6 linked regions of the Ovis aries genome follow. The protein of the gene in region 2 purifies or fractionates together with the protein of the main gene of each other region. This does not show direct contact. Links are inferred from orthologs where the notes say so. Each region holds a gene or a part of one and is shown on either strand. Other genes may lie near its edges. The genes, in order: DHX9, JUN, COP1, cyclic AMP-dependent transcription factor ATF-7, NFE2L2 and CREB5.

Evidence for each region.
Region 1: the proteins of JUN (region 2) and DHX9 purify together in Homo sapiens (affinity purification with mass spectrometry; 3 studies listed by BioGRID and IntAct, with this or other methods). This does not show direct contact. The link is inferred for Ovis aries from reciprocal best matches to the Homo sapiens genes JUN and DHX9.
Region 3: the proteins of JUN (region 2) and COP1 purify together in Homo sapiens (affinity purification with western blotting; 9 studies listed by BioGRID and IntAct, counting the BioPlex papers as one, with this or other methods). This does not show direct contact. The link is inferred for Ovis aries from reciprocal best matches to the Homo sapiens genes JUN and COP1.
Region 4: the proteins of JUN (region 2) and cyclic AMP-dependent transcription factor ATF-7 purify together in Homo sapiens (affinity purification with mass spectrometry; 3 studies listed by BioGRID and IntAct, with this or other methods). This does not show direct contact. The link is inferred for Ovis aries from reciprocal best matches to the Homo sapiens genes JUN and ATF7.
Region 5: the proteins of JUN (region 2) and NFE2L2 purify together in Homo sapiens (affinity purification with western blotting; 4 studies listed by BioGRID and IntAct, with this or other methods). This does not show direct contact. The link is inferred for Ovis aries from reciprocal best matches to the Homo sapiens genes JUN and NFE2L2.
Region 6: the proteins of JUN (region 2) and CREB5 purify together in Homo sapiens (affinity purification with mass spectrometry; 5 studies listed by BioGRID and IntAct, counting the BioPlex papers as one, with this or other methods). This does not show direct contact. The link is inferred for Ovis aries from reciprocal best matches to the Homo sapiens genes JUN and CREB5.

The regions. Positions count from the first base shown.
Region 1 is NC_056065.1:63,382,588-63,387,070, reverse strand, and holds part of DHX9 (ATP-dependent RNA helicase A), read right to left. Parts: coding exon 4,373-4,483; intron 2,930-4,372; coding exon 2,700-2,929; intron 2,546-2,699; coding exon 2,430-2,545; intron 1,563-2,429; coding exon 1,362-1,562; intron 1-1,361. UniProt on the Homo sapiens protein: Multifunctional ATP-dependent nucleic acid helicase that unwinds DNA and RNA in a 3' to 5' direction and that plays important roles in many processes, such as DNA replication, transcriptional activation, post-transcriptional RNA regulation, mRNA translation and RNA-mediated gene silencing.
Region 2 is NC_056054.1:33,493,650-33,498,926, forward strand, and holds JUN (transcription factor Jun), read right to left. Parts: upstream 3,015-5,277; 5' UTR 2,095-3,014; coding exon 1,087-2,094; 3' UTR 321-1,086; downstream 1-320. UniProt on the Homo sapiens protein: Transcription factor that recognizes and binds to the AP-1 consensus motif 5'-TGA[GC]TCA-3'.
Region 3 is NC_056065.1:56,630,015-56,634,497, reverse strand, and holds part of COP1 (E3 ubiquitin-protein ligase COP1), read left to right. Parts: intron 1-1,344; coding exon 1,345-1,453; intron 1,454-2,335; coding exon 2,336-2,417; intron 2,418-4,483. UniProt on the Homo sapiens protein: E3 ubiquitin-protein ligase that mediates ubiquitination and subsequent proteasomal degradation of target proteins.
Region 4 is NC_056056.1:132,902,760-132,908,023, forward strand, and holds the start of cyclic AMP-dependent transcription factor ATF-7, read left to right. Parts: upstream 1-1,950; 5' UTR 1,951-5,264. UniProt on the Homo sapiens protein: Stress-responsive chromatin regulator that plays a role in various biological processes including innate immunological memory, adipocyte differentiation or telomerase regulation.
Region 5 is NC_056055.1:132,851,244-132,856,526, reverse strand, and holds the start of NFE2L2 (nuclear factor erythroid 2-related factor 2), read right to left. Parts: upstream 3,292-5,283; 5' UTR 3,144-3,291; coding exon 3,099-3,143; exon of another isoform or gene 2,749-3,098; intron 2,614-2,748; exon of another isoform or gene 2,376-2,613; intron 1,959-2,375; exon of another isoform or gene 1,929-1,958; intron 1-1,928.
Region 6 is NC_056057.1:68,888,854-68,893,336, forward strand, and holds part of CREB5 (cyclic AMP-responsive element-binding protein 5), read right to left. Parts: intron 987-4,483; coding exon 663-986; intron 1-662. UniProt on the Homo sapiens protein: Binds to the cAMP response element and activates transcription.

The sequences.
Region 1 (4,483 bases), on a different chromosome or scaffold from region 2:
TACTTACTGACTCTATTGCAAATCTTTCTAATCTAGTTACTTTTCATTTCAATTCCCCTGACTCTAATTCAGACCACCATTTTATTCACACAACCTAACCTCTTATTTCTATCCCATCCTTACTAGTTTTGTCCTTCACAGAGCAGCTTGTATGCGAAGCCTTCTTGATCACCACCCCTTCCTGACAGAAGTTTTATCTCCTAAACATCTATGAGTACTGCATTTATACCATGCCTGGGACACGTATTTTCCATCTTTCTTTCTGAAGATTCTTTCTCAATTGTTCTATACAACTGACCTTGTGGGCAGACCACAGTCATGAGAGCACCATTTCAGGAGCCATCCTGTCTGCTTGAGAATTCAACTCTACCATTCACTAGCTGGAAGATCTTGGGTTTTAACTTCCCTGTGCTTAGTTTATTCATTTATATTAAAAGGGATAATGATCTACCTACATCACAGGTGGATCAAGTATTAAAGCAAGCGAATATCAGAAAAGCACTTAGCACAGTGTGCCACAGCTAAGTACTATGTTTGATTAATTCAAAGGAAAAGTTAACTCAGTTATAACCAAAATGGAATGCCAGAATCCATAAAGCACACAGCATTTCTGTATAGTAAGTTAACACTTTAAAACCAAATGCAGTTAAGTGATTTTTGATGGGGAGATTGAAAAATATTTTTGAATGACAAATTTTAATGACTGTATATTAGATACTATTATTTTAACACATTTTTGTGTGTGACTTATAGCTATGTTCTTAAAAGATACATGAAGCATACTAATGTAAAATGTCATAACACCTGCAACTGAATCACAAATGATTCAACAAAAGTATGTGTGTAATATATATATGTATCAAAGCAAGTGTCACAAAATGCTGACAATCATTGAAACCTAAGTTAACAGAGTTCACTGTACTACTGTTCTGCCTTTTCTACAGGTATCAAAAATTTTGAGAGTAAAAGGCAGTGGGCAAAGAAAATTTTTAAAGGTGAAAAAAAATGAGGCAATTAGAACACTTTAAAGATTAAACTCTGACGCTTTTCATTCGAAGCAGCAGCAATTTAAGCCCTCATCATTTTTCCTGTAGAGATGGCAAAGCAGTTGGGCCTGTCGCTTTTTTTCCTGTCATGGGACCTATCCTGGACTCCATATGTACTTCCAAGGTCTCTATCTTTAGCATGCACTGGTGTAACATATCATTAACACTCTTTCTCTGAATGTGTTAACCAGAACTAAACTTCATTTAGAATGTGTATATAATTTTAACTTAAATAACAAGGCCTCCATAAACTAAATGTAGAGTAAGATTACTGTCTCTTCTGCTTAGTTCAAAGAAAGTTACTGTGGTACCCACCGTGTAGTGCCAATCATAAGGTTGATACCAGCAGCTGAGGGCCGAGAGATCTGGCGGATTGTGTTCAGCATACGTTCATTAACAGGATCCAACTGGCTGATGATACCAGGCTGTTTGGTTACTTCAACAACCAGAGCCTCCATGGCTGCTCGAAGAGCAGTGATACAGGCAGCAGCTTCATGAGATATTTGCAATCTTATCCTAAATTAGGGAAAAATGATTAAAAATGAGAGGAGGTACACACAGAAAAAGACTATTATCTCCCAATTTCACCCATGGCAAGTGATGGGATAAATTTAACTTCTTTTCCAAATGTAATGGCCCTAGATTTAGCAAACACAGGTATGAAGAGTAACAATAAGTTAAACCAACTTCTTAAACTTCACTGCTAGCTACTGGCAGGAGTTGTGAACCATGAAGTCTACCAAGTGAAGTACGCTTAGCCATACAGATCACTTCAGCCTCCAATAAAAGAATGAAATGAGAGACTACTAACCATTAAGTTCTGTCCAATTCTGCCAAGTGCTTACTACACAGACACCACTTGTCTCTAAGCAATATGGAGTGTACATAAAAAAAGAGGCATCCAAATTCCAATTAGATTTTAACTCCTCAGTATGGTATTCACGGTGGTGGATGGGGCTCCAATGAGTAATGCAGCAGCCCCCAACCTTTTTGGCACCAGGAATCGATTTTTGTGGAAGAAACTTCTTCCAGACTGGGGTGGTGGTGGGGATGGTTTGGGATGATTCAAGTGCATTACATTTACTGTGCACTGAATTTCTATTACTACCACATCAGCTCCGCCTCAGGTCATCAGGCCTTAGACCCCAGAGGGTGGGCACCCCTGATTTACTGCATCTGCCTCTACAAGTATAATCAATTTGAGACTTCACTATCAGCTACAAATCGTAAGCCTAGGATATACTCCTCTAAGAAAAGACAGTGTTACACAACACATTGTTTATGCCATCGAATTCTGCCATATTTCACAAATAGATTAGCAGCTGAATTCCAGTACATTTCAATTCTAAGAATTCAGGTGAGTTCACATCTGAAAATCCATACCAGTCGTCTACAACCACAAGCTGTCCATCAGACATAACTTTCTTGGAGGCAAAAAGCAGCAGCTGCAAGGGGGTGACTAAGGTCATGCCTTTAGCAGAGATGGCCCGAGTTCGAATCTGAAGATAAAGAGGCAAGAGGAAAAAGTTGACATTCCAACTGTCAATCAACTACCATATAATAATAATGAACTAAAACCCATGTCCCCACTACACATTAATAAAGTAATCTGGATTTTAAATGTAGAAGTTTTCTAAACCTCCCTTTTCTTACCTTTTCACCAAATACAAAGAAGGGAGATGGGTACTTCATGTCTTGGCTGCTAAAAGGACAATTAACAGATGACTTGTGGATAAGTGCATTACGCCCTTCAGTGGTGAGAATCTTTCTCTTTTCCTTATGGTAACACACATTGGGGTACACACCAAAGGCCAGGAGAGAGATAACAACATCCAGATTATTGTCTGGTCCAGTGTTAGTAAACACTTGTGTCAGTAAACACTCTGTAAAGAGGAAGGAGAGTAAAAAAAAAAAATCAAGTATCTGGCTAATTCTAACATTGAATTTACCAAAATTAAATGACAATTATAAGAATTAACTCCTCCCTCATTCTCTTTTTCAAATAACCCATCTCACTGCCTCTGTTCTTAGCATTCTCGCACTCAGATTAATGCAAGGAGAAATTTTGCTGAGTCTTCACAATTTTAGTAAAATTAAAACATCTGTTTTCTTTTGTAGACACAACTAAGCTTGAAGTACTTAAAAACAAATGCCCCAATTAACCATCTCCTCTCAGATTAGAGCTAGACCGGTATGACCAGTATTTCACCTGCTGCTCTTAAAAAGCTGTTCCTTCTACAGAAGATGACCAAGAGGAACACACTAGAAAAACGCTGCTGTTTTCACCCAAAAAATGCTTTGTGCCCAGGCCATCACATGGAAAATATGATGGTAAGAGTGTGGATAAACTTTGTTCCAAAAAGCCTGTATACCAGTCTTATAAACTTCTGAACTGAATGAATGTGGACAAGTAATTTAAACCTCTGGCCAGCTGCCTAACCTGTAAAATGGAGGTCATATCTGCATCTCAGGAATTTTGTAAAGAGTCTATCATACAAAAATGTCCTATTTTCCTTTGATTTTTGAAAGTACAAATTTAGTCAGTTTACAACAGAAGAAAAATGTTTAGTTATTTAGATATGGCCCAGAAGGTAGTCCTTCTCTCTCTCAACTAGCTATTTCTGGTTATGTGTTCCAACTCTCAATATTTCAGAAAATTAACTCTGTCTCAATCTAGCTGGAGAAGTACAATTGTTCAAATTCACACAAGAAATGAACAGTTGGATTACTATTCCTATATCAGATATCAAAGTCCTCTATGATTAGCTATCCATTAAAACTTACTCAAAGCCAATTAAAATTTAATGCAATAGAGTTTACTTCACACCTAAGAATGAACAGATCAGCAAATTAACACATCACTTCAGAAACCACTACCTGAAGTAAATTCAACAAACTGCTCATTCTAGAAGTGCAAAAAGCTAGGCCTGTTTTTTTACAAAGTAAATGGATCAGAAATAAAAACACACCCTTCCACCTAAAAAAAGACAGTGATGTGTAACTGACTCATTTTGCTGTACAGCAGAGCCTAACACAACACTGTAAATCAACTACAATCCAATAAAAACAAAACCTCCTAAAGCAGCACAACTCTCAAAACATCTATTCATCATCTGTGTACAAAACTGTAATTTGAACATTATAACCTTTTGCATCCTTAAAAAAAATTCAATTAATGTGAAAAACTGATTATCACCAGAGTTCAAAAAACTAAGAAATAGCTAGGAATACAAAAAAAACAAAAGCCTTATGTTTAAAGCTAAAATATACTGGGACTGTCAATGTGAATGTTTAATATTAAGGTACTTTAGATATGAGAATCTTACCTTCTGGAAATCCAGAATTAATGAGAATCTCTTTGAGCTGAACTTTGGCTTCCCAGGTCATTCTTAGTGTTGCCATATTGAGTCTTTTGTGCTCACAAAAACGTATCTCGG
Region 2 (5,277 bases):
GCACATGCCACTTGATATAATCCAAACTAAAATGTTAGATTTCCCAGTGGGCTGTCCATCTCCACCACAACCTCCCTTCGCTCATCTTCCTGAAATGGCACACTATCCTTGGTAAGCAACTCTATGTAGATTGCTGGGGAGGGAAAAGTATTAACTTGATGACAGCATCAGCTGCAGTTCTTTCTCAAGTCAAGCAGACAACAGTTTTCAGGGCCTGCTAGTAAGAAGCACCCACAGTGATTTTAATTGACACTCAACTCTTTCAACTCCACCTAGACAAGTAATCTATAGATAATGCAGAAAAGAGGTTGGGGGAGGGGTAACTTTTTCAATATTTTATTGTATTTTCTTAAATATCCTTTCTGGAATTTTCAGAAACAAAACATAAAAAAAATTATATACTTTATTACAAATGGTAAACTCAGAGTGCTCCAAATCTCTTATTTACAAACAAGGCTGGGCAGGACACCCAAACAAACAAACATGAATAACTTACAAAGGCATGAAGCTGTTTATTGACAGTAATCAGCTTTCATCAAATTAAAAAATATATATATGTACATACACAGTTATGGAAGGCAGGCCAGAAAGAGCTCATCTGCAGGCTGGGCCTCGCTCTCACAAACCTCCCTCCCGCCTCCCCTCCCCCACCCCCTTTGTGTTCTTAAGGAGTACTACAGAAGCGATCTACAGTCTCTATTGCAGTTTGCAACCCCCTCCCCCACCCCACCCCTTTAATACTGAATGAGATCGAATGTTAGGTCCATGCAGTTCTTGGTCAACGTTAAAGAAAAGTCTAACGTTCTGTTTGCGCGGGGACAGCCCGTCCGCAAACCCGGGCAGCCCGCGAGCGGCCGTTCCCTGGCTCCTCGCCAAGGGAGGGCGCGCCAAGTCCTTCCCACTCGTGCACACTGGGGGCGCCGTCAGGACGCAACCCAGTCCAACTTGGATACCCTTGGCTTTAGTCCTCGGACACTTTTGTTTTTTTCTCTGTTTCTCTCTCGCAACTTGTCAAGTTCTCAAATCTGTCTCTCTGTGTTATTTATATTTTTTCTCCGTTGCCCCTCAGCCCCCGACAGTCTCGCCTCAAAACGTTTGCAACTGCTGCGTTAGCATGAGTTGGCACCCGCTGTTAACGTGGTTCATGACTTTTTGTTTAAGCTGGGCCACCTGTTCCCTGAGCATATTGGCGGTGGACGCCAGCTCCGAGTTCTGCGCTTTCAAGGTTTTCACTTTTTCCTCCAGCCGCGCGATCCTCTCCAGCTTCCTTTTCCGGCACTTGGAAGCAGCGATGCGGTTCCTCATGCGCTTCCTCTCCGCCTTGATCCGCTCCTGGGACTCCATGTCGATGGGGGACAGGGGCGGCGTTTCCCCGGGCATCTCGGGCACCGTCTGCGGCTCTTCCTTCAGGGCCTGCAGCCGCGGGTGCTGCACGGGTATCTGCTGGGGCAGGTGGTGCGGCGGCTGCGGTGGTTGCTGCTGCTGCTGCTGGGGCTGCGCGGGAAAGGCCAGGCCAGCCGCGCCGTAGGAGGGCGCCCCGCCGCCGCTGCTCAGCGCGCCGGGGTTGAAGTTGCTGAGGTTGGCGTAGACCGGCGGCTCGCTGTGCAGGCTGGCGCTGAAGCCGCCGCTGCCGCTGCCGCCCGCCACCGAGGCCACCGCCGGGGCCACCAGGCCCGCCCCGCTGACCGGCTGCGCCGCCGACGTGACGCTGGGCAGCGTGTTCTGGCTGTGCAGTTCGGCCAGGGCGCGCACGAAGCCCTCGGCGAATCCCTCCTGCTCGTCCGTCACGTTCTTGGGGCACAGGAACTGGGTGGGGGTCGGCGTGGTGGTGATATGCCCGTTGCTGGACTGTATGATCAGGCGCTCCAGCTCGGGCGACGCCAGCTTGAGCAGCCCAACGTCGGGCGAGGTGAGGAGGTCGGAGTTCTTGGCCCGGAGGTGCGGCTTCAGGCTGCCCACCGGGTCGGCCAGATTCAGGGTCATGCTCTGCTTCAGAATCTTGGGGTTACTGTAGCCGTAGGCGCCGCTCTCAGACTGGAGGAACGAGGCGTTGAGGGCATCGTCGTAGAAGGTCGTTTCCATCTTTGCAGTCATAGAACAGTCCGTCACTTCGCGTGGGCTTAGTTTAAGCTGCGCGCAGAAGTTTCGGGGCCGCAACAGCGCGCTGGCAAGCGGGGGACACCCGCGCCTCCCCGGGCAGTGAGCAAGGAAAGTTTCTGGAAGAGCGCGCGCCCCCGCCGGCTGGCAGCCCCCGCCCCCGGCGCCCTCCTCACCAGCTCGGTCCGGGGGATCGCAGGGTTAAGACGCCGCCCGCGCTCTTACTTGTCCGCTCGCGCGCGCCGCCCGGCTTTGAAAAGTCGCGGTCACTCACGGAGCTCTCTCGAGCGCAGCGGTTCCTCAGAGCCCGCGGACGAACTCGCTTCCCGGTGATAGCAGGGAGCGCGGACCCCGCGTTTGCCTGCCGGCGGCGGGTGTCCGCCGCCCCGACTCGGAAGACTGTCCCCTCCTCCGCTGAGAGGGGGAGGGGGCGCCCGGCAGCCGCGGCTCGCGCTCGCCCAAGTTCAGCAACCGGTGCGAGCGAAGCGGAGCGCACGTCCTCCTCTCTCCGCCGCCTCTTTTTCTTCACCGCCGCCGCGGCAGCTTCGGGCGGAGGCAAGATTTGCAAAAGTTCGTTCCGGGACCCGGCGGCCACTTGTCTCCTGTCTTCCTGGCCGGGAAAGTTCTTGCCGCTGCAGCCGCTCTCCGGACTTCCCCGGGCGGACAGTGGCCGCTCTCCGCGCTGTCAGCAGCGCCCGCGCAGCGGGGCTCTCCGCCTGGGGGCGGCTGGCGAAGGGGCTCTCCCGGCGCTCCCCAAAACACCAGGCCGGGAGCCACAAGCGCTAGCTCCGGGCAGTTGGAGAGAAATTGGAAAATAGGATTTGCTGTCCTTCTCGACTGACTGTGCCTGTCTGCCTGCCTGCGTCCGCGCACCTCCACTCCCGCCTCGCAGCTTCAGCCACACTCAGTGCAACTCTGAGCCCTTATCCAGCCGGAGCGCAACACTTATCTGCTACCAGTCAACCCCTAAAAATAGCCCATGATGTCACCCCAAGGCCTTCCCATTGGCTCGCGTCGCTCTCAGGGGGGCGGGCCCACCCGTCGCCATGGAGACCCCACCCTAGAAGATTCTTCTCTGGGCCCGCGGAGGCTCACGGGATGAGGTAATGCTCCGTTGCCCTCCTACAGTTGGGCCCTTCTTTCTCCTCCTCCCCCCAACCCGCTCCGCGCGACTCGCGCCCCTCTCTTCCCCCTCCCTCCCCGACGCGTCTTTCCCGGCCCGCCCGGTGCATTGTGGGCTGACGTCTTGGGGTTTGACTGTCTAGTGACGGTGGCTGCCGCGAGCCGGGCGGACTCCGGCGCTCCCAGCCTCTGAGGGAAGTGGGCTGAAGTTTAGGGCTCGGATGGGAATGCCAGGGATGCTAGGACCCAGGAGGCCAGGGGAACCGAGCCAGGTGTCTGGGGCCGAGGGCGCGGGGCGGGTGGTATTTCCCCACTTGGGGGTTCGATGTCACCCGCGGGCACTTCGCCGCCGCTCGGGGCGGGCCGGGCCCGTTGAGCGCCTGGGTTCCTGGCCCCCCCGCACTTCCGGGGGGCGGGAGCACCGCCCTTAAGGTGGCTCTGTTAAGTCCCCTGTGGGGGCGAGTGAAAGTGGCTTTTAAATTTGGGGGCAGTTCGTGAGAGTCGGCCCCCCACGTTGAGAATGCCCTGAAGTTTGTCTCCTGGTCAAGTTCAGTAGCGACTGTCTGGCTCTGTCTGGAAGTCCAGTGATTTGCATTGCTTGAAACTGGGTGTTCGGCTAAGTCCCCTCCGCACTCCCACCTCACCCTCCCGACCGTGGGAGAAAGGGTGCGGGGGTTCGCATCTTTGCCTCGGAAAGGTTTCTTACAGGAGGTGGATTTAAGGGGCAACTCGGCGTCTAGTTTGAACGAGCGTTTGGAGAATCCGAAACTCGGGGAACCCCGGTGATAGTCTACTCTCCGCCCCCGCACAACATGCATAGACACACCGCACATCACATGTACACACAAACACACACACACGCACACGCCACTCCTCCCGCCCCGATTTGCTTCCGGGAAAACAAGTCCGAGAGCAGCAGACACTTGCCAAAAGTCACGCAGCGAGTGAGTAGAATAAAGATTTAAAATTTCTCCGCTCCCGGCTGGGGGGTGGGCCCATATCCTGTGTAGCCTCTAGGAAGCGCTAGACCCATGTAAGTGGTTCCTTTTCAGTGGTGGTTATTCTTCTCCTCCCCCAACCCCGCGCCCCTTAGGGACGAAAGTGTACGGTGGAAAGAATACCGAAGTCTGGAGTCGTGGGTTCTCTCCTGGCCAACGCTGCCGCAATGTGAAGGGAGCGAATCAGAGAACTTCCCTGAGTTTCTTCATCTGCAAGTGGGGCTGGTGAGACCCACCTCATAGGCCTGGCTTAGTGTAGAGTCATTGTCTCCAGGGCTAGGAGGTGGTCACCAACAGCCCCCTTCCCTGCCCTTGGTCAGAGCTTCCGGAGCGTCCATGGAATGCCAGGATATGAGTGTGACTTGGCAGGAACAGGTGGATTTAACCTGTGAGGAGGGTGAGGGAGGAAAGGGTCAGAACTCAGCTCCTTCCAGGGTTTTCTCCAGGACCGTGGTTTGACGTTGGACCTGCAGCAGTTTATGTCCCTAGGTCCTAATTCTGGCTTTTCAGCTTCTGAGCTTGCATAGCCCGGAGCTTTAAGGTATTTGTGGCTTTGAGAGTTGAGATTCAGCAGCCCAGCAGCAGCTGGTGTTAGGGACATCTTGACAGCTTTCCTTTACTTCCTTTACTTGCCCCTCATTCCCTCCTGCAGCAGGGAAAACAGTGGCTACTGTCAGCCAGGTAGTGCGGTGGGGGTGGGGAATACAGCGATGACAAGATCTAGTTACTTTTCTCCAGGAAGGAACATTTTCCCCTATATTGTTGCCCTGAATCATTTTCTTTTGTAATCAGGGAGATGCTGTTTTTTTTTTTTTAAATAATAGTTTTAATGATAACAGTAATAAAAATGGATGTCATGTAATAAACACCTACTATCAACCAGGCCTTCACCAGAGCAATTTATATATGCTGTTTCTCCCCCACAACTATCTTGAGCTACATATAATATATTATTATCCAGATTTAATATATGAGGAACTAGGCCCAGAGACTTTTAAGTATCCTGCTCAGGTCACACAGGCAGCTGGAAATTGACTTCAGGTGTTTGTTACATTCCCTT
Region 3 (4,483 bases), on a different chromosome or scaffold from region 2:
AGATGTTGCATTCTCAATATTGGAACATTTGAGAATAGCCGAAACTGTAAATGTTAGAAGTTTAATTCTGTTAAATGCATTTTATTGAAATTTGAGTCATGCACTTACATTAGTCAACATTTGCCTGTAAACACAGAGACTCAATTCAGACCAGTTTACTGGCTTATATGATCTGACAAAACTGGAAGTAGGGCCCTGAAGGGTCTGATTTGGTCTCTGCCATGACATACGTGTGCCCCCCGGCCCCTGTTATCTCCACCTACAGACATGTATTCCTCATGTGTCTCCGCCATGACATACGTGTGTCCCCCCGGCCTCTATTATCTCCACCTCCAGACATGCATTCCTCATGTGTCTCCGCCATGACATACACGTGCCCCCCCGGCCTCTATTATCTCCACCTACAGACATGTATTCCTCATGTGTCTCTGCCATGACATATGTGTGTCCCCCCCAGCCTCTGTTATCTCCACCTACAGACATGTATTCCTCATGTGTCTCTGCCATGACATACGCGTGCCCCCCCAGCCTCTATTATCTCCACCTACAGACATGTATTCCTCATGTGTCTCTGCCATGACATATGTGTGTCCCCCCGGCCCCTGTATCTCCACCTACAGACATGTATTCCTCATGTGTCTCTGCCATGACATATGTGTGTCCCCCTGGCCCCTGTATCTCCACCTACAGACATGTATTCCTCATGTGTCTCTGCCGTGACATACGCGTGCCCCCCCAGCCTCTATTATCTCCACCTACAGACATGTATTCCTCATGTGTCTCCACCATGACATATGTGTGTCCCCCCGGCCCCTGTATCTCTACCTACAGACATGTATTCATCATGTGTCTCTGCCATGACATACGCGTGCCCCCCCAGCCTCTATTATCTCCACCTACAGACATGTATTCCTCATGTGTCTCCACCATGACATATGTGTGCCCCCCTGGCCTCTGTTATCTCTACCTACAGACATGTATTCCTCATGTGTCTCTGCCATGACATACGTGTGCCCCCCTGGCCTCTGTTATCTCCACCTACAGACATGTATTTTCATGTGTCAAGGATGGCCAGTAGCAACTTTAGGCACACCATATCTGTCTTCTAGCTGGTGATGAGAGTGAAGAGTGGTTATGGTTTGTGACTTGGTAGTTTCAATTGAATACTCTGGGAATTATTTGATGCCTTCTTCCTTGATGGATTGTGGGCAAAATAATTATTGTGAACTTATGTAGACCATTTTGAAAGGGTTCTAATCTTTTTGAACACGTCCAAATTCTTTGTATCCATTGCTATTTATTTTTATGTAAAATAAGGCTTAACTTAATATCCCTTTCTTTCAGCTGTATCAGTTGGAGTAGTTATCATAAGAACCTATTAGCCAGCAGTGATTATGAAGGCACCGTCATCCTATGGGATGGATTCACAGGACAGAGGTCAAAGGTCTATCAGGTAAATAAGAATACTAGTTACCTGTGGTTGTTGTTACTATTCAGTCGCTCAGTCGTGTCCAACTCTTTGCGATCCCATGGACTGCAGCACACCAGATTCCCTGTCCATCACTATCTCCAGAGTTTGTTCAAACTCATGTCCATTGAGTCGATGATGCCATCTGACAATCTTATCTTCTGTCATCCCGTTTGCCTTTTGCCCTCAATCTTTCCCAGCATCAGAGTCTTTTCCAGTGAGTCAGCTCTTTGCATCAGGTAGCCAAAATATTGGAGCTTGTTGCAAGAATCACATTTGTACTTTTTAATAATTATAGAGCTTCATGCATTTTATAATTACAAATTTAAAATCATTGTTTAGCATTTCCTCAGTTCCTCAGTTCAAATGGCAACCCACTACAGTATTCTTGCCTGGGGAATCCCAGGGACGGGGGAGCCTGGTGGGCTGCCGTCAGTGGGGTCGCACAGAGTCTGACACAACTGAAGTAACTTAGCAGCAGCAGCAGCAGCAGTTCCTCAGGTCAGCCGCTCATTTATATCTGACACTTTGCGACCCCATGGACTGCAGCACCCCAGGCTTCCCTGTCCATCACCAACTCCCAGAGCTTGCTCAAACTCATGTCCATCGAGTCAGGGATGCCATCCAACCGTCTACCTATGTAATTCCAGTAATGCTCTTTGCATTTGTAGGATGAATTTCCAAAAGTGGTAATTTTATAAATGTATATTTAAAAAGTTTATGGAGCTACTTTGCATCTCCTTTATTTTCATAGCCAGTTCTTTCTCCCTCCCACCATAGTGATAAATTGGTATCAGCTATGTTTATTTGTTTTGCTTTATTTAAGATCTATATTCTGAGACTACTTTGTCTTCCTTCTACATCTAGGAACATGAGAAGAGATGTTGGAGTGTTGACTTTAATTTGATGGATCCTAAACTCTTGGCTTCAGGTTCTGATGATGCAAAAGGTACTATTTGGGTCTCCCCCCCGAATTAATTCCTTTTAAAACCTAACAGAAATACACATATTTATTGAAACCCATAGTGATCCTTTGCGATTACTGATTATTCTAAAAATAGTCTAATAAGCACAAAAATCTTTATTTCTTGGAGTGAAAGAAAAATGAATATTCTGCATCTTCATTATAATAATTTTTTCTGAATTCATGCCTGTGATGTATTTATAACCAGTTCCTGTACATATACTGTGAAATGAACTTTTTTGTTGAAATATTTAGACATCACTGTATTCTGAATTGTATTAAATTCTGAGTGTATACCAAAATCTTTGAATGAAGTAAATCATGTTTCAAGGCAGAAATTCTATATTTCTTTCTGCCAATTTCATTGATCTTTCTATTTTTGTGTATGTGTGTGTGTGTGGTGTGTGTATCTGTCTTTACTGTTTGTTCTTTCCCGTTACTGTCTTCTTTTGGCCTGTTTTTTCTCAAGATTAGATTTATAAAGCCCTGTTAACAGATTTCTTTTATCTTGGCCCTCTCCTTCCTTTCCATCTGTAACTTGCAGACTAGTGAATAGATAGGCAGGGGTAGCTCTAGCGTTGGAAACTTTATTTCACAATGATTGTTGTTGTTGTTCAGTCTCTCAGTTGTGTCCGACCCTTTGCGACCCCTTGGCCTGCAGCACACGAGGCTTCCCTATGCTTCACCATCTCCTGGAGCTTGCCCAAACTCATGTCCATTGGGTTGGTGATGCCATCCAACCATCTCATTCTCAGTTGTCCCCTTCTCCTCCTGCCTTCAATCTTGCCCAGTAATCAGGGTCTTATCTAATGAGTCGGCTCTTCACATCATGTGGCCCAAGTACTGGAGCTTCAGCTTCAGCATGAGTCCTTCCATTGAATATTCAGGACTGATTTCCTTTAAGATTGACTAGTTTGATCTTGCAGCCCAAGAGACTCCCAGGAGTCTTCTCCAACACCACATTTCAAAAGCATCAATTCTTCAGCTCTGCTTTCTTTATGGTCCAACTCTCACATCCATACATGACTACTGGAAAAACCATAGCTTTTACTAGACAGACCTTTGTTGGCAAAGTAATCTCTCTGCTTTTTAATATGCTTTCTATGTTTGTCATAGCTTTTCTTTTAGGGAGCAAGGGTCTTTTAATTTCATGGCTGCAGTCACCATCTGCAGTGATTTGGGGGTCTGAGAAAATAAAAATCTGTCACTGTTTGCATTGTTTACCCATCTGTGACTGGATGCCATGATCTTTGTTTTGGGAGTGTTGAGTTTTAAGTCAGCTTTTTCACTCTCTTGTTTCACCTTCTTTAGTTCCTCTTCGCTTTCTGCCATAAGGATGGTGTCATCTGCATATCTGAGGTTATTGGTATTTCTCCCCGCAATCTTGATTCCAGCTTGTGCTTCATCAAACCCAGCATTTCACATGATGTATTCTGCATGTAAGTTAAATAAGTAGAGTGACAGTCTACAGCCTTGACGTACTCCTTTCCCAGTTTGGAACCAGTCCTTTGTTCTATGTCCGGTTTTAACTGTTGCTTCTTGACCTGCATACAGGTTTTTCAGAAGGCAGATGAGACGGTCTGGTAGTCCCATCTCTTTAAGAATTTTCCATGGTTTGTTCTGATCTACACAATCAAAGGCTTTAGCGTAGTCAATGAAGCAGAAGTAGATGTTTTTCTGCAATTCTCTTGCTTTTTCTGTGATCCAGCGGGTGTTGGCAATTTGATCTCTGGTTCCTCTGCCTCTTCTAAATCCAGCTTGAACATTTGGGAGTTCTCAGTTCAGGTACTATTGAAGCCTAGCATGGAGAATTTTGAGCATTACTTTTGCTAGCATGTGAAATGAGTGCAATTGTGCAGTAGTTTGAATGATAGAGCTGTCCTATTCTATAAAAGAGAAATGACATGACTGGATTGCCCTCCAAAAAGTTTCGGATCAAAGAGAAGTAGCAAGTTGTTTATCCACAGTATATATGGATTGGAACGTTTTCCTTCATGATTGCTGTAAGAAATTATCTTTGAATTTCTAAAATAGAACATTGTGTTATAATT
Region 4 (5,264 bases), on a different chromosome or scaffold from region 2:
CTTGATGTACTTCTGTCCCAATTTTGAACCAATCCATTGTTCCATGTCCAGTTCTAACTATTGCTTCCTGACCTGCCTACAGGTTTCTCAGGAGGAAGATCAGTTGGTCTGGTATTCCCATCTCTTTAAGAATTTTCCACAGTTTGTTGTGATCCACATAGTTAAAGGCTTTAGCATAGTCAATGAAGCAGAAATAGATGTTTTTCTGGAATTCCCATGCTTTTTCTACGATCCAGTGGTTGTTGATCTCTGGTTCCTCTGCCTTTTCTAAATCTAGCTTGTACATCTGGAAGTTCTCGGTTCACTTACTGTTGAAGTCTAGCTTGAAGGATTTTGAGCATTACGTTGCTAGCATGTAAAATGAGCACAATTGTACAATAGGGAGAAATCACCTGGATTCTGTCTACATTTCAGAGGCTAGGAAGATAAATGAGATCCTAGGCATGAAGTTCAGAAATTTGTGTAATATAAAGCCGCAAAAGGAAGTTTGAGAGAAAACAGATTCCATAGGTAATATTTTTTGAGTTAACTCTCTTTATAATTACATAACATTTTAAAAGTTTTTTTTTTTTTTTTTTAGTTGTGGTTAAAAAAAACCAACACAAAAAAACTGCACAATATAAAATTTACCACCTTGGTAACAACATGAGAAAATTTTAAATATAGCCTTTACATTTGATGCCACAGCTGTCTCTTCATAGTTCAACTCAGTACAAAGGTTACTTCTTCAGTGAGGTCTCTCAATACAGAAGTAAAGTTGCTTTCCTACTCTTGGTCACTTTCTGTCTCATTACCTTAAAGCATTCTTCACTAACTGAAATATTTATGTTTATTAACTGTCTCCCCCTCCCCAGGGAAGGGCTTCCCAGGTGGCTCATGGTAAAGATTTCGCGGGTTCTAACCCTGGGTGGGGAAGATGCCCTGGAGAAGGAAATGGCAATCCACTCCAGTATTCTTGCCTGGGAAATTCCATGGACATAAGAGCCTGGAGGGCTACAGTCCATGTGGTCTCAAAGAGTCAGATGTGACTTAGTGACTAAACAACAACCTCCTCCCCGCTAAAACTGTAAATTCTACCGGAGTAGGGAACTGGTATGTCTACTCTTCTTCCATGCCTAGTTCTTTGCACACAGTATGTTCTAAGTATTTGTTTAAATACTTTCTGAGTAATAAGTATAGTGCCTTTTAATACCAAACAAGTTTCATATAGCTTATCTCATTTGATTATTACAACTCTGAGTAAAATCGGATTGTTGGCCCCACTATAAAGATACTCAAAAGAAAATGATAGAACTCTCCACCTCCATATACAGCAACACACAGAACAGAGACTATGGCTACGGTGATGCTATTCTAAGTGCCAAGAAGAAAATACAACTACTCGACTCCTTGGAACACTGAATCACCTTGTGTAGCTGTCTCGGGTTTTCCCCCAGTTTAAAAACGATTAAAAAAAAAAATTTTTTTTTTTTTTGGCCGTCCCGCAGGGCTTGCAGGATCTTTGTTCCATTCCCAAGGGTTGGAACCCGTGGCCCCTGCAGTGGAAGCGCGGAGTCCTCATCACTGGTAGGCCAGGGAATTCCCTTCCCCTGTTCTTTAAAAAAAAAACCAACCAGCTTTATTGAGGTATATAACCTTGTCTTGTTTTTAAAGTGCGCTCTTTTGTAATAATCTAATTCTCTAGTATGAGAATACTTTGGATCTCCATTACTACAGGCACCTGTAAGCATTCCTTCTTTTTCTTTTTTTCCCCTTACACTATGCAGTCGAACACGTGTGACCAGCGCCTCGGGAACTCGCTCTGCCTCCCACCCTAGCCCTGCCCACCGAAAGTCCCGCCCCTTCTTTTTCCGGAGCCCGGCCCCTCGGCTTCTTTCCGACCTGGCTCGGCGGATCTCGCCCTTCCTCCAACCCCTCTCTACATCTCGCGAGAAGTGAGAGCGCCTGGCCGGACGAGAGAAAAGTATCTGCTCCGCTGAGGGGGGAAAGAAGGAGCTGGAGATAGATTGTGGGACCGATCGCGGGCGGGCGGGAGGCGACGGAGCTACCAGAGGGTGAGTCCTGTTAACATTAACTAGTCCATGACCTGACGGGCGTCTCCCCGTCAACTCTGGTCAATCCCAGCGTCCCAGACCGGGGTCTCCCCTCCCAGTATGTGTTGGACGGGGGCGCTGAGGCGGTGGCCGGGCCCTGTCTGAGGAAGAGGGTGGGGCATGGGCTAAGGCCGACCAATAAGAGAGAAGGAAGCTACAATTGGCGGCGACGAGCACTAATGGGAGGTCATCTTTACCTTGCGGAGTGACGCCCCTCTTCTCTCCCTCCTCCCGCCTCCTTCCTTTGGGGGGGGAAGGCGGGGCCAGAGGCCTGAAGTGTGGGGAGAACTTGGGGTAAGTAGCCCCGGGGGGCACAGGGCGTGGCAAGGAGAGGGGAGTTGAATCCTGAGGGAATGGAAGTCTAGTGGAGCCTGGAATGGGGTGGAATGGGAGAAAGGGGAAGGGTACTAAACTGGTTGAAGACGCTGGACTTCTCCAAAGAGTGGGGTTAGAGGCTTGGCATTGGAAGAGTTAGTGGTAATAGGCAGGAGGTAGGGTTGAGTAGGTGAAAACATAGCATTTGGTTTTGCTGGGAAGATAGGGAGGAATAAGTGTAAGTGAGAGCGTGGCATTTCGATTGAATTATAAGAAAAACTATCAGGGACAAGATATCAGAGGAAAAGTATGGGCATGAAGAAAATTAAGTGAATGAGTTTAGGAAGATTTAATAGGGGTGGGTGTAGTGGCCAAAAGGCATCACTTTGGGTAGGGTATGGGGGAATCCAGAGGGGTAGGAGAGGTATTTGGTTGGGAGACGGTTGATAATGGACAGGTGTTTAGCTTAGGTATCAGAAGAAGTCTGAGAAGTGATTTTAGAGCTTTTGGTGAATATGGCATCCAGTCTGGTAACCAGCCTGCAAGAAAGCTAGGATAGTGGTAAAGAGAAAAACAGAACACTTTCATCACTTCTACTCTGATTTCCTTTCTCCGTCTCTTCCTCTTCCCGACTTCATCTGTTCCTCAGCTCAGGGATGGGGGCTTGGGACTTCAGTGGCCAAGTCAAAGCCCCATCGGGAGTTATATGTTGCTCTGAATTGCTTGTTATGTTCTCTGACTGGGGTGTTTACTGCCCAGGGCACCTCCTACCCAGATTCCCGCGTTGCTACTTTCCTGACTGTAAAGTTTGTTTTCTACTTACCAGAGGGTGTTTTAGTACCTCTGAGGGTTGTGTCATAGTAAGTGTAGTTTTGTGGGGGTATGCAGAGTTTTCTCCACAATCTCACTTGATTCCTATGTTTAAAAACTTTGCAGTAGTGTAATCAATTCTTGCAGAGACATCGGTTTTTTAGGTATTCTAAGCACAGAAAAATGTACTATACTGGTTTGTTTTGTTAATTGTTTCTTTCCCACTTGAGTTGCTAAATGGATGGTTGCAGTTAGTTTTAGCTAGCTTATGTGTGGTTTTTTTTTAAGTGGTGTAAATAAAATGGACACGTATTTCAGGAAAGTGAAAAATTTTCAGTTTCTTCTTTTGTGTCCAGATCAGAAAGCTAAAGATATGTCATAATATCTTGGGGGCAAGGGTTGGGGAAATCAAACACAATTTGTGCTTAAACATGGAGGATATAAGGTAAGTGGAGACTATTGCGAAATGTAACATGTCAGTAATAAAAGAAGCTAAAGAAAAGTCTGGCAGCTATACTAAGTAGTCTTACCAGTTCTTAATTCTGTACAAAAAAGGGACAAGTCTTTGCCCTTTGTTTGATATTTGTTTATTATTTAATAATGAGCTAGTATAGTCCATTAATAACTTCTTTGCTGTTGCATAAATTTGTCTTTTACATTCCTTTTCTTCTTTTACTTTTGGAAGCAAAATGACATCTGAAATACTAGCAACGGTGTTGTATGAAGAGAAACCAGAGTGTGTTGCTTCGTATTAACTTTTGGTTTTCAGCAACCATTTATCCTCCTGGCCAGGAACTTACCCCTACAGCACATTGAGACTAATTAATTACTGTCCTTATAGCATTAACTACTTAATTGGGTTCCAGTATTTCACATTCAGAGCATTGCTATTGGATATTCAGACATTTTCACAGTTTGCCTGGCAGTAGCACAAAGAAATATCCAGTGAGAGGGCAAAGTTCCTTGTTTTATTCTTCCATTCTAGAATTTGTGATGGCTTTGACTTGAGCACTGTCTCGTTAGTGTTACCACCTAGCAGAAGGCTAGAGAATAATAAACACTGCTCATCTTTAAACTTGTGGATCAAAGGGTACAACCTGTGATAGTTTCAGTGTTGTAACTTTTAAGCATTTTTGCTTACCATGGCTTTAAAATGTTGATAGATACCGTTGTATATCTCCGTTCTCTTCCCCGTCCCTTTCCTCTCCCTCTTTCTTCGCCTTTCCTTTCTTACTTTCAGTTCAAAATTAAATTTGTTTTTTCAACCAACTCTCAAACTGCTGCTTTAAGTCCCTGGCTCTGCCTGAACACAGCTGCTCTGAAATTCTCACAAGTTATTGTTTTGTACACGTCAAGAATGAGTTTTTCCTAGGCTGCAGTTGAAGGGAGTCAGTGATACAGCAGCCTCCTATCCATGTCTGAGAGGAGGAACCTTTTTGAAAGGAAGTTTTAGGTGGAGCAAATAGTATTGCCATATAAATGTCTAATAAAAACAGCTCTCTTTTTGAAACTAGTTGGCAGGCTGGCATACAGTTGTCCCTTATCCCATGATAAAGGTACATAAGTTAAGGTGCATGTGTTGTTTCTTTGAGAAAAACAAATGCAGCATTCATTTAAAAAGAAAAACATTATTTCTTTTGTTGTTGGTTTCTCTGATTGTGGTACTGTGATTTTAGAGTTCATGGGAGAAAGTCTTCCATTTCCAGAAACATGACAAAATGATTTTTAATATTCTCATTTTTGAATGTTGCCTTCCCCTAGCAGGCCTATTTTTAGGATCAAGTATATTCTTGAAATGTGGAAATACATCATTTTTGAATGTTTGGTGGATGATCTTTTAACTTCTGAATGCTGTAAGGAAGCGATCTCTACTTCATAGATACCCTGTTCCATTATTGGAGCTCTACTTTTAGAACATTCTTTACATTGTGGTGCTCTGTACTCCTGCCATTATGTCCTGTTAAAACTTCTCTCTTGCTGGGGTAAATATCGCATATTCTTTCAACCATTCCTTAAGTTACATTTAATAAAGTTCAGCCTCCTTGT
Region 5 (5,283 bases), on a different chromosome or scaffold from region 2:
TTGTAGTTTTTCTCGATTTGTCCATTTTTACAAGCGTAAGAGTTTCCTTCTGTTTAAAGTTAACTAGTCTTGGTCTACTTCGGAAGTGGGGTCCTTCTACCAGGGTTTGAATCCCACCTCTGCCACTCAATAGTTGAGTCACTTTAACCAGGACCCAGGACCCTGGCTGCTTTATGCCTCTTTCCTCACCTAGAAACTGGAGACAGTATTTTCTACACGGTGACTGTGAAATTATACATGTGAAGCAATTATCGTACCGCCTGGCACACAAGTAAGTGTCCAATAACTCATCTACGATTATCTGAGTGCCAAACTCCTGAATCCAAGAATATGCACTGACGAGTGAACCCCAGATGAAGGAAAAATCAAAGAAGAAATATTTACGCAAACCCCCCTTTAAATGTGTTCCGCCAGTAGAGAGGAAATTCCCCGGGGAAAAAAAAAGTGCTTCTAGCCCACAGAGGTTTCTTTTTCTCATGTAGCTCTGTAAGTAAAATTCGTGTATTTAGCTTTCAATTCTTCCTGATTATCCTAAAGAAAGTCAGATTTTGGGGTTTCCCCTCCCAGCACTGTTTATAAAAACCCAAGTTGACAAGAAAGAGTCCAAAATGGCCCATGCTACTTTTAATGCAGACTGATGTGAGTTACGTTTTTATCCTACTACAATCTTTCACAATCTCTCAAGAGGTTTTTTTCCAAATATCTAAAAAGTCAAGTTGTTCTTTGCTCAACCTTCTGGAGATGAGAGGGAGGCCTTATTTTTCTTTGGAAGTTACCTACCTAGTCCAAGATCAACTTCATTCCTCATATGCAAAAATACTTTCTCCAAGACAGCTTTGAAAAGGGTAGATGATTCCTTCCAGAAGCTAATGGAAATTCAGAATGTAAAACTCTACTGCTCTTCATCAACACCTCCTTTGCACAAAGGGGGAAGAACTTTTACCCCCGTACCACCTCCTGCCTGGTGTTTCTTTGACAAGAGGTTAGAATCCACTTATGACTCTGTCCAAATCTTCCTGGACTACAAAGATTTAATATGAATCTTAGTTACAGGCATGACATTAACTCTAAATTTTATTCCATTTTCTTTTATACTCTTCGCATATGCAAACTGAGGTCTGATTACAAAGGGTGGAAAGGGAGTTACCTTAACAAACATAATTGGAAAGTTCACATTTAAAAGAAAAAGCAGTAAAGATGTTTACCCACTTTTGTATATGGAATGGTAAATTATATAGTTAAGAAAGAAATAAAAACTTCAGTAATATACCCCTCTAGGCTACATTCCTGAATCTGGGAAAACTAGAGTCCATTAGCATCATATATCCTTTGGTCATATAGATTATTAAAGAAATGGCTATAGGGACTGAACAGCAGCTGAATCGGAAAGCACAATTTATTTCTTCATATCGTGGGGAGGAAGGAACACAGTCTTAATCACTACTGGGGGAAAGTTCAAGACAACAGCTTCCAAGGGAAAAAAAAGGCACAATCACTACATTGTCAATATATCAAAACCTTACTTCAGGATTAGTCTAAAGCTTGATGTTTAAGAGCTTAAATATATTTACCGTTCCTATTAGGTTACACATTTCCTTGAACTAAATATTTTTCCAAAAAACGCATTCACACGCACAAATTGGAAATAAAACTATCTACTCCTTTAAAAAGTCCCTACAAAATATACACAGAAACTTGTTCCCACATTTGCGACATTTACAGAACTTGTTAGCGAAGTTTTATGAGACACAGCTGTCCCACCCTCTGCCCTCTCAAAAGCAACATACTAGGAAAGCAATTGAGGCAAATTCTCAAACAGAAAAGGAAAACTACATAAAGCACCCAAAAGAGAAACAATGTATGAAAGCGCAACATTTAGTAACAGCCTAAAAACAACAGAAATGCTAATCTACACTCGAAATTCTTACCCTTGACAGCAGAGAACAGAATATCCTGCCTTACACATTTTGGAATTGCAATTCCGAAACGCTAAATCCAAAGACAAAGCCGCCCTAGGGAAAATAACAATTGCGCAACAGATCAACAGCTCCAACTTGTCCCTTGGCCCCGGCGCGGCAAGGTTTGCACGCTACAAAGCAGGAAAGGGCCCACTGAGGGCCGCCGTGACAGCCAACCGGCCACTGTCACGGCGCCGGGACGACGCTCGCGGCGTGCGCCACCGGGAAGCACAGCGCCGGGATCGAGAAGCCCCGGGGAGCTGGGGTGGGGTGGGGGGCGAAGGCCCGTCGGACTTCAGAGTCCACCGCCCCACCCGCCCTTGCCGGCGTATTGCTAGGGGCCGACTCAGAGTTCTAAGAGCCCGAACCCTTCCCTCGGGGCGAGGCGGCGCGCAGGGCAGGGTTCGATCGCCGTACGTCGGGGAAACCGAGTGCGCTGGGCGCTTGGTGACCTCCTCCTGCCCCCACCCTGGGAGCTGGGCATTTTCGCCAAGCGGCCTCAGGGCGATCGCAAGGCTGGAGTGATTGATCACTCTGCCTAAGAGAACCCTCAGCAGGGTAAGAGCGCCGCGGCTCGCGCCCGCGGAGGTCTTGAGCAGAGGAGCAGCGGCAGAGGAGGGGTTCCGGGTCCCAGCCCGGAGACCTCAGTTCCCCCGAGAGTGGCCCCGTGACTAGGCACATTTTTGCCGGCTCCGAGGCGGGGGAGCCGCGCAGCCCCGGAAGGGCCGGGCCGCGCCGGCTCAGACCGCCAGTGTCCGCCCTCTCCTACCCGGTTGCCTCCCGGCCGCTCAAACTCGGAGAGGGGGCCGGCCGCGGCTCCAGCATCTCGGCTCCGGCGACCGGGGACGCGGTTAGAGACGCACTTCGCCCCCACGCGCGCTGGCGTAGCCCCCCAACCCCAACCCTACCGCCCTCGGGGGCTGCGGGCGCGTTGTCAGTCACACCATTCCCCGCGCCCCCATACCCCTCGCAGCCCTTGGGGTCGCCACTCCCCTCCCCCGGCCCCAGCTCAAGCGCGGCGGCTCTGGTGTGTGCGCGGCAGCTGCAGTCCGCTCCGGCCACAGACGGGGAAAGAGGCCGATGCGGCTGTCCCTCCCGGGCCGCGGCTCCCTCGCGCCCCTGCTCCCGTCCTGGCACCACCTGCTGGGACGGCAGTCCCGGCGGGGGCAGCTCCAAGTCCATCATGCTGAGCTGGGGACGGTGCTTTGAGGCTCCCCGACGGCGGCCCTGTTCCGGCTGCCGAGGCTTGGAGCGGACACGGCGGTACTGGTGGCGGCGGCGGCTCCTGGGGGATCCTAGGAACTCGCTTCTCCCTGACTTGGCCGGAGTCGCCGATCGGGCTCTTGTCCCGCTCCGCCTCCCGCCCCGCGAGGGCGGGGCGAGAGCCCAAGGCCCTTCCTTCCCCAGCCAGCCGCCCGGGCCGACCTTCCGAAAATCCCCCACCCTCGCCGGGCTGACGCAAGAAGCTGGCCGTCCTGGGGCGGGAAAGAGTTGCGGGCGGGGGTCTCAGGGGCGGCTGCGGGCAGGCAGAGTGCCGGAGGAAGGCCCCCGAAGCTCGCCTGCCTCCGCTGTCAGTTTGCCCTTCTAGCGAATACGGCCATCGCTCCCCGCCCGTGGGATTGAGTTGTTTGCCGAAGGTCGCTGGGGTTCGGGTGCTTTGAAACAGTTTAAACAGTTGAAACAAACATGCTTGGAGACTCGGCAAAGGCGATGGTATCGGAGCTGCGCCTCCCTGCTTTGGATTTGCAGAACCTTGCCCGGCTTTCTCTCTCCCCACCGCCCGAGAGTGGCGCCAGCCCGGGGGGTGGGGGCCGGAAGCCGGGACCTGGGCCCAGCTCACGGCGAGCTGCCCTCTCGCTCCGGCTCAGCCAGTGAGACTGGCCCGGGGGAAGAGTGGACCGCGCGGGGAGCTCGTGCTCGGTCACCCTGATCGCCCTCCACTTACTCCCACGCCTTGCACTCTGGCCAGGCTTCAGTCCCCGAGGGCGAATGGAGAAGTCTCTTTGGATCGGAGAGTGGTCGAGCTTGCCCATCCGGAGCATTCTCTTCCCACCAGAGTGCACACGCCACACCATAGATGGCGATTTTTAACCCTGTTCGATATTACAAACGTGTCATAACCTCTAGAAGTTTTCACGTACTCAAGATACGATTTTAAAAACAAAAACGCAAAAAACAAGTTATAAAACTGTGTAGTATGGACCCGTTCTGTGAAAGCATGTACCTAGAAAAAAAAAAGTTCTTCAAAATATTACTAGTAATATTAATAGTTGCAGGACCTTGAATGATTTTTATCTCTTTGTTACTTTAAGTATGTTTTAAATCTACGATAAATGTGTATTATTCACTGCACCTTAAAAACAATTATTTAAAAAGTAGTCAGTGCCCAGAGCAAACTTCAAGTACTTGAAAACAGGAATATTGTGAAATCTTATGATTTAAAAAAGAATAGAGAAATGGTTTAGTTTTGTTTTCTCTTATGCAACAGCACTCTTTCTAGCTCTTTAACAAGCCTGATTTTCAGTTTATCACTTCTTCGAATTATGCAAAACCAGGTGGAGTAGACAGTGTCTGGCACTGGTTTTACTATTTCATTCAAAAACCTGACGCCAAAAAAAGAAAAAGAAAACCATAAAAGCCTGACTACAGCAGACCAACGCCCCCAAAGCTGCAAAGAACTTACTTTCTCTTGGTTGCGTAATTTGACCCTCCCAGGACTTACCTGTTGATTTATATGTTGGAATATTTCTTAAGGTAAGTGAAGCCTAAATTAATTGCCTGTAATTGAAGTAAGTTTCTTCAATTTGAATTAAACTTTCAGCTGTTAAGTGAGAAGGCTGCAAAATGATCTGCACACTAACAACAAGCTCAGGAGAAGTGATTTACAGTGAACCTGACATGGAATATGCAGAGACATTATGAAATGACATTTCTGTGTCAAAGAATGGCACCAGAGTATATTGCTAACAATTCAAGTTACTTATTAAAATTAGTACATGGAGAAGGTAGACAGAGAGCACAGGAGGCAGGCAATAACAAAGTCATATACGACATGATGGCTGCCCTCCAGCGGCTTATAAAATTTGGTATTTCCTTGTTGGGCAACAAATTTCCGTTGAGTTTAGACTGAATAAAATAAACTTTACTTTTGCAAAACTGCAATTACTGGGAGTATATTATTTCAGGCACCTGCAGAGTACATATTTTCAAAGGGAGGAGGACAATACAATAAGAGTCTGAACATGTTTAAGAAAAATTAAGGAAACAGCTAAAAAAAAGCTGTTTGGCATTAAATGGGGATTCAGCACAAGAGGAGGAAACCCCA
Region 6 (4,483 bases), on a different chromosome or scaffold from region 2:
GTGACTTTCCACCTCTGGGGTTTGGCCTTTCTCTTGAACTGATCATCTACAGAGCTTGGCTCTCTGTCTGCTCCCTCCAACGCATTTCTCATTGGGTGGGATGAGTCATCTCTCTTCAACATTCACAAAGCACCTTACACTCTAACATCCATCACCGAACCTTTGTCTGCCTGAAATTGTTACTCTTTATATTTTTAATATTTACTCTTATTTAGAAGATTGCCCACTGTATTTAATTTCCATTTTACAGGTGACACAAGTGGGTCTCTAAGATGTTATAAAGCACTGCAGCTAGAACCATGGTTAGAATGAACTTACCTTCCTCGTTCTTTATTCACTTCTTTCATTACATGCTTAAATTCCTAATCCTCCATTGGTGTTACAGTTTTAGGGTTAACTTTGTAATATACTACAAAAATAGATTCTGGAGAACTTAAGTTTCCCTTTTCCCTTAGAAACTAGACTTGATATTTATCATATTAGTTATGGAAAGTGCGATCTGGGAGGGTCCTATGGGTAACCATTACCTCCTAGGAAATGAACAGAGTCCCTCAGAGTGTTAGAACACGTGGGCTTGTCAAGTAAGGTTGCTGCCAACGAGCCCGTCATTAGAGCCGGCACTGTTAATGAGAAGAGGGAAAGAGATAATGAAAAAGGTCTACCTGTGCTTGGTTGCCGGAGTGCAGGGGTGGGTGTGGCGAGGTCTGGTGGTGTGCTGGGTGTGCGTGAAGGTGGGAGTGGGAGTGATGATGTGGGTGGTTCTGCTGGTGATGGGGCTGAGGATGAGGGTGGTGCGCTGGGTGCTGGTGCTGGTGCGGGTAGGGGTGGTGGGCCGGCAGTGTCTGGTGCTGGTGAGGGTGTGAGTGCATGTGATGGTGCGGCGTCTGGTCCTGCCGGGAGCCCATCATTTCCATCATGTGTCCCATGGTGTTCATATTCCCATTCGACATGGCGGCAGGGTGGTGAGTCAATGCAGCCTTCAGCCTCTGAAAAGAACAAAAGGAGAGGGGACGGACACAGTCAGCTGTGTATACAACAGGGATCTCAAATCAAAATGACTCATAGTTTCAAGTTTATAATATTTAGCAGCTTCCCGGGTGGCTCAAGTGGTAAAGAATATGCCTGCCAATGCAGGAGGCACAGGAGGTGTGAGTTTGATCTCTGGGTCAGGAAGATTCCCCTGGAGGAGAAAATGGAAACCCATTCCAGTACTCTTGCCTGGATAATCCCCATAGACAGAGGAGCTTAGTGGGCTACAGTCCATGGGGTTGCAAAGAGTCACAACTGAGGGGACTTAGCATGAACATGTAATGATACTATTATTAACATTTTTTTTCTTACTGGGTAGCAGTATGGCTTTTATATAAATTTCAAATTTTCATATGTATTAGAGTAGGTAAGTGTGTCAATGTCAGCCAGGAATGTTAATTAATTCAACTGACACTGCAAATGAGCAGGATACCCTAGACACTTTACTAAAAGGTATTTCCTACTATCCAATTGTTCGCTATATCCTATTGACAGCCAAGTGCAAGTATAAACCCAATGGAATCATTCAATATGACAATATCAGTGAACAAAAGGCCCATATGAAATGGCACTGTCTCAAGAATAAAAGATTTTTGCTTTTCAAAAGATTTCTCAGACCCAAAGAGGAAAGAATTTCAAATTTCAGAATCTAGGAACAATTTTAATATTATTTTAAGTCTTCAAATTAGATTAGAAATCCACAACTTTGGGAGGCAATGTAGATCTTTCCATTTGTTCCTATGACACTTCTCATAATCCCTCTGATAATCTAATTTTCTCACACAATAATGTTCTTCTGATTTTAAAGTTAAAGAATATGGACCATTGCACTTCTACAGCTTCTGTGATGACCATACCACAGGGCAGGTACAAAATCATCAACCATCAACAAGCAAACAGACATTTACACAATTAAATTCTCCCTGAATCTAACCCCTAAGCAGGGGTCAGCAAGCTTTTCAATAAAGAAGTCAGATAGTAAATATTTCCATCATTGCATGCCTTAAGGTCTCTCACAACTACTCAGCTCAGCCCTTTCAGCACAAAAACAGATATGGACATTCTGTAAACATATGACCATGCCATGTTTCAACACAATTTTACTTAGGGACAGGATATATGAATTTCATATAACTTCCACATGTCACAAAATACTATGCTACTTTTGATTTTCTTTTTCAATCATTTTAAAATGTCAAACATTTTTAGCTCCTGTGCTGTGCAAAATTAGGCCGTGGTAAAGAATCAGTTGGTAGTCAAGTTGTTTGCAGTCTTTTACCCAGACAATTATCGTCATACCCTGAGGGGCACAGTGTACTAAGTATTGTATAATACAGTTACTCCTTGGAAATGTATCTTCTGCAGAGATGATAGTCTAGTTGGCAAGCTTATGTTGGCCTCATGAAGTATTTACTAGGGAACTCAAAGTTCTCTCCTGATTTGCATTCTTATCTGATTGATGATGATAGCCTGTAATCACTGCAAATGGAAGAGCGGTATTTAAATGACGATCAAAGCTACCATGTGCCAGCCCTATGCAATATTAATGATTCTCAACTGGGCAGAGTAAACTATTGACAAGGATAAATTCAATCCATAAAAATCTTTACTTAAATATAAAGAGCCTCCACTTGTTTAAAAAAAAAACACATAAAAAACAGGCCGGCAGGCAGGGGTAGGGCCAGGTAGAGGTTGACAAACCATATGTTAATATTCAATAATCATTGAATACATTTCCTGCATCTGATGCAGCAACCACTGAGCGCAACTGCCTCCCCCTTCACAAGCAACATCTGCTACACAGGAGCTACTGAACTGCATCAGTATCCTAAAGAAGTTAGGCTTCCTGAATCCCTGGGAAAGATTAGGTGCTGCGTATTGTGTTTATTACTAAACAGAAAAGTGAACAGATACTCCTCACCTCCAAGCTTTAGAAATGAGTTCATTGTTTTTATAAAAACGCTCATTATAAAAAACTCAAGTGACACTTAAAAGTACAGTGAAGTCAGTAACCAGTGAACCAAGTGCATTGCTTAAATTTGGTGGGTGGATGGTATTCCAGACAGCTCTCTCTGTAGAGATGGAGCAACAAGTCGAGTCATTTCATAACAGCGGGATCAAACCCTTATTTGAAGAGAACATAAGCAAAAGAAGCAAGAATTGGATGAATTGCTGGACTTCAGATATATGTTTCTTAAATCCAAGAAAACTCTGTAAGTGATACATTCAAACTTCAAAGTGAAGAAAATTATGAAAAAATATATTGAGATCATTATTTTGAAATTGACATACCAAATAGTATTGATGGATTTTCTATACTATTCTTTATAATTTTATTATTATAAAATATAAAGCTGCATAGTAAAAAAAACACACTACTACAAGACTATGTGGTGAAAAAGTAAAAGCCACCTGCCTACCTTCTTCTTTCTTAGCCCCATTCCTCAGATGTAACTACCAAGTATCTGCTGACATATCCTCAGCATTTATCAGAACGTGTTGTGTAAGCTCTTTATAATGATATATGATTTTGTATCTTGCTTTTTTTCTACTTCAACAATATATATCTTTGACAACATGCCCTATCAATAATAGCTAATAATAATGTCTGGCATCAATTGAGCACTCACTCTGGGCCACTCCTCATTCTGTGTTGTATGAATATTAACTCACTTAATCCTCAGAACAATCCGGCAAGGCACAAAGACAGACTAATCCATGTGCCCAAGCTCTTGCCACTGGAGAGGAGCAGAGGTGAGCTACCTCCAGACCTGTTCTCTACACCAGGACAGAAGGAGCTGGAAGGCTTGCCATGCACACTTTGTCAAAAATGGGAAAAAATTGTATTGTGCCACCTCCCTATCATCAAAAGGAAATGCAAAAAGAAGAGAAGTGCCCAGAAAAAAAAATGACAAGATTATTTCTGCACAGTGTAGCACACAAGTGGAGACCCAGTGTATCTTGCTTGTTCTGAAACTTGGCAGAGGTAAGGGGGGGGAGGTAACAATCTCCAGGCAGCTCAACTGCAGCAAAGGACCATCCAGAGCTTAGCATCATCATCTCTTGTGTTATATTTATTAAGAATGGGTACTTATATTCCACCCCCAAACACAGATCTGACAAGGTCCAGGTATATTTTCTCCCTGGCCCCACTTCCTAACCTTCAGGTATATGACTGTTCTATCTTCTCCCTGGCCCCACTTCCTAACCTTCACGTGTATGACTGTTCTAGGTCTTTTCAATGTTCAGGGGATGAAGTTCAAGCCCTTAACACAGCCTATGCATAGGCACTGAGGAGTGTGGCCTGGCACTCCCACCAACGCTTCCATCTCATTGTCTTTTTGCCTGGGACGATCTTTCCTTTTCCTCAGACACTCTAGAGCTTTAAGCAGCAGGACCCTCTTTAGTAAAATTCTCCCTGGTCTCTGCTCTAAACCAATTCCTATTGTTACAA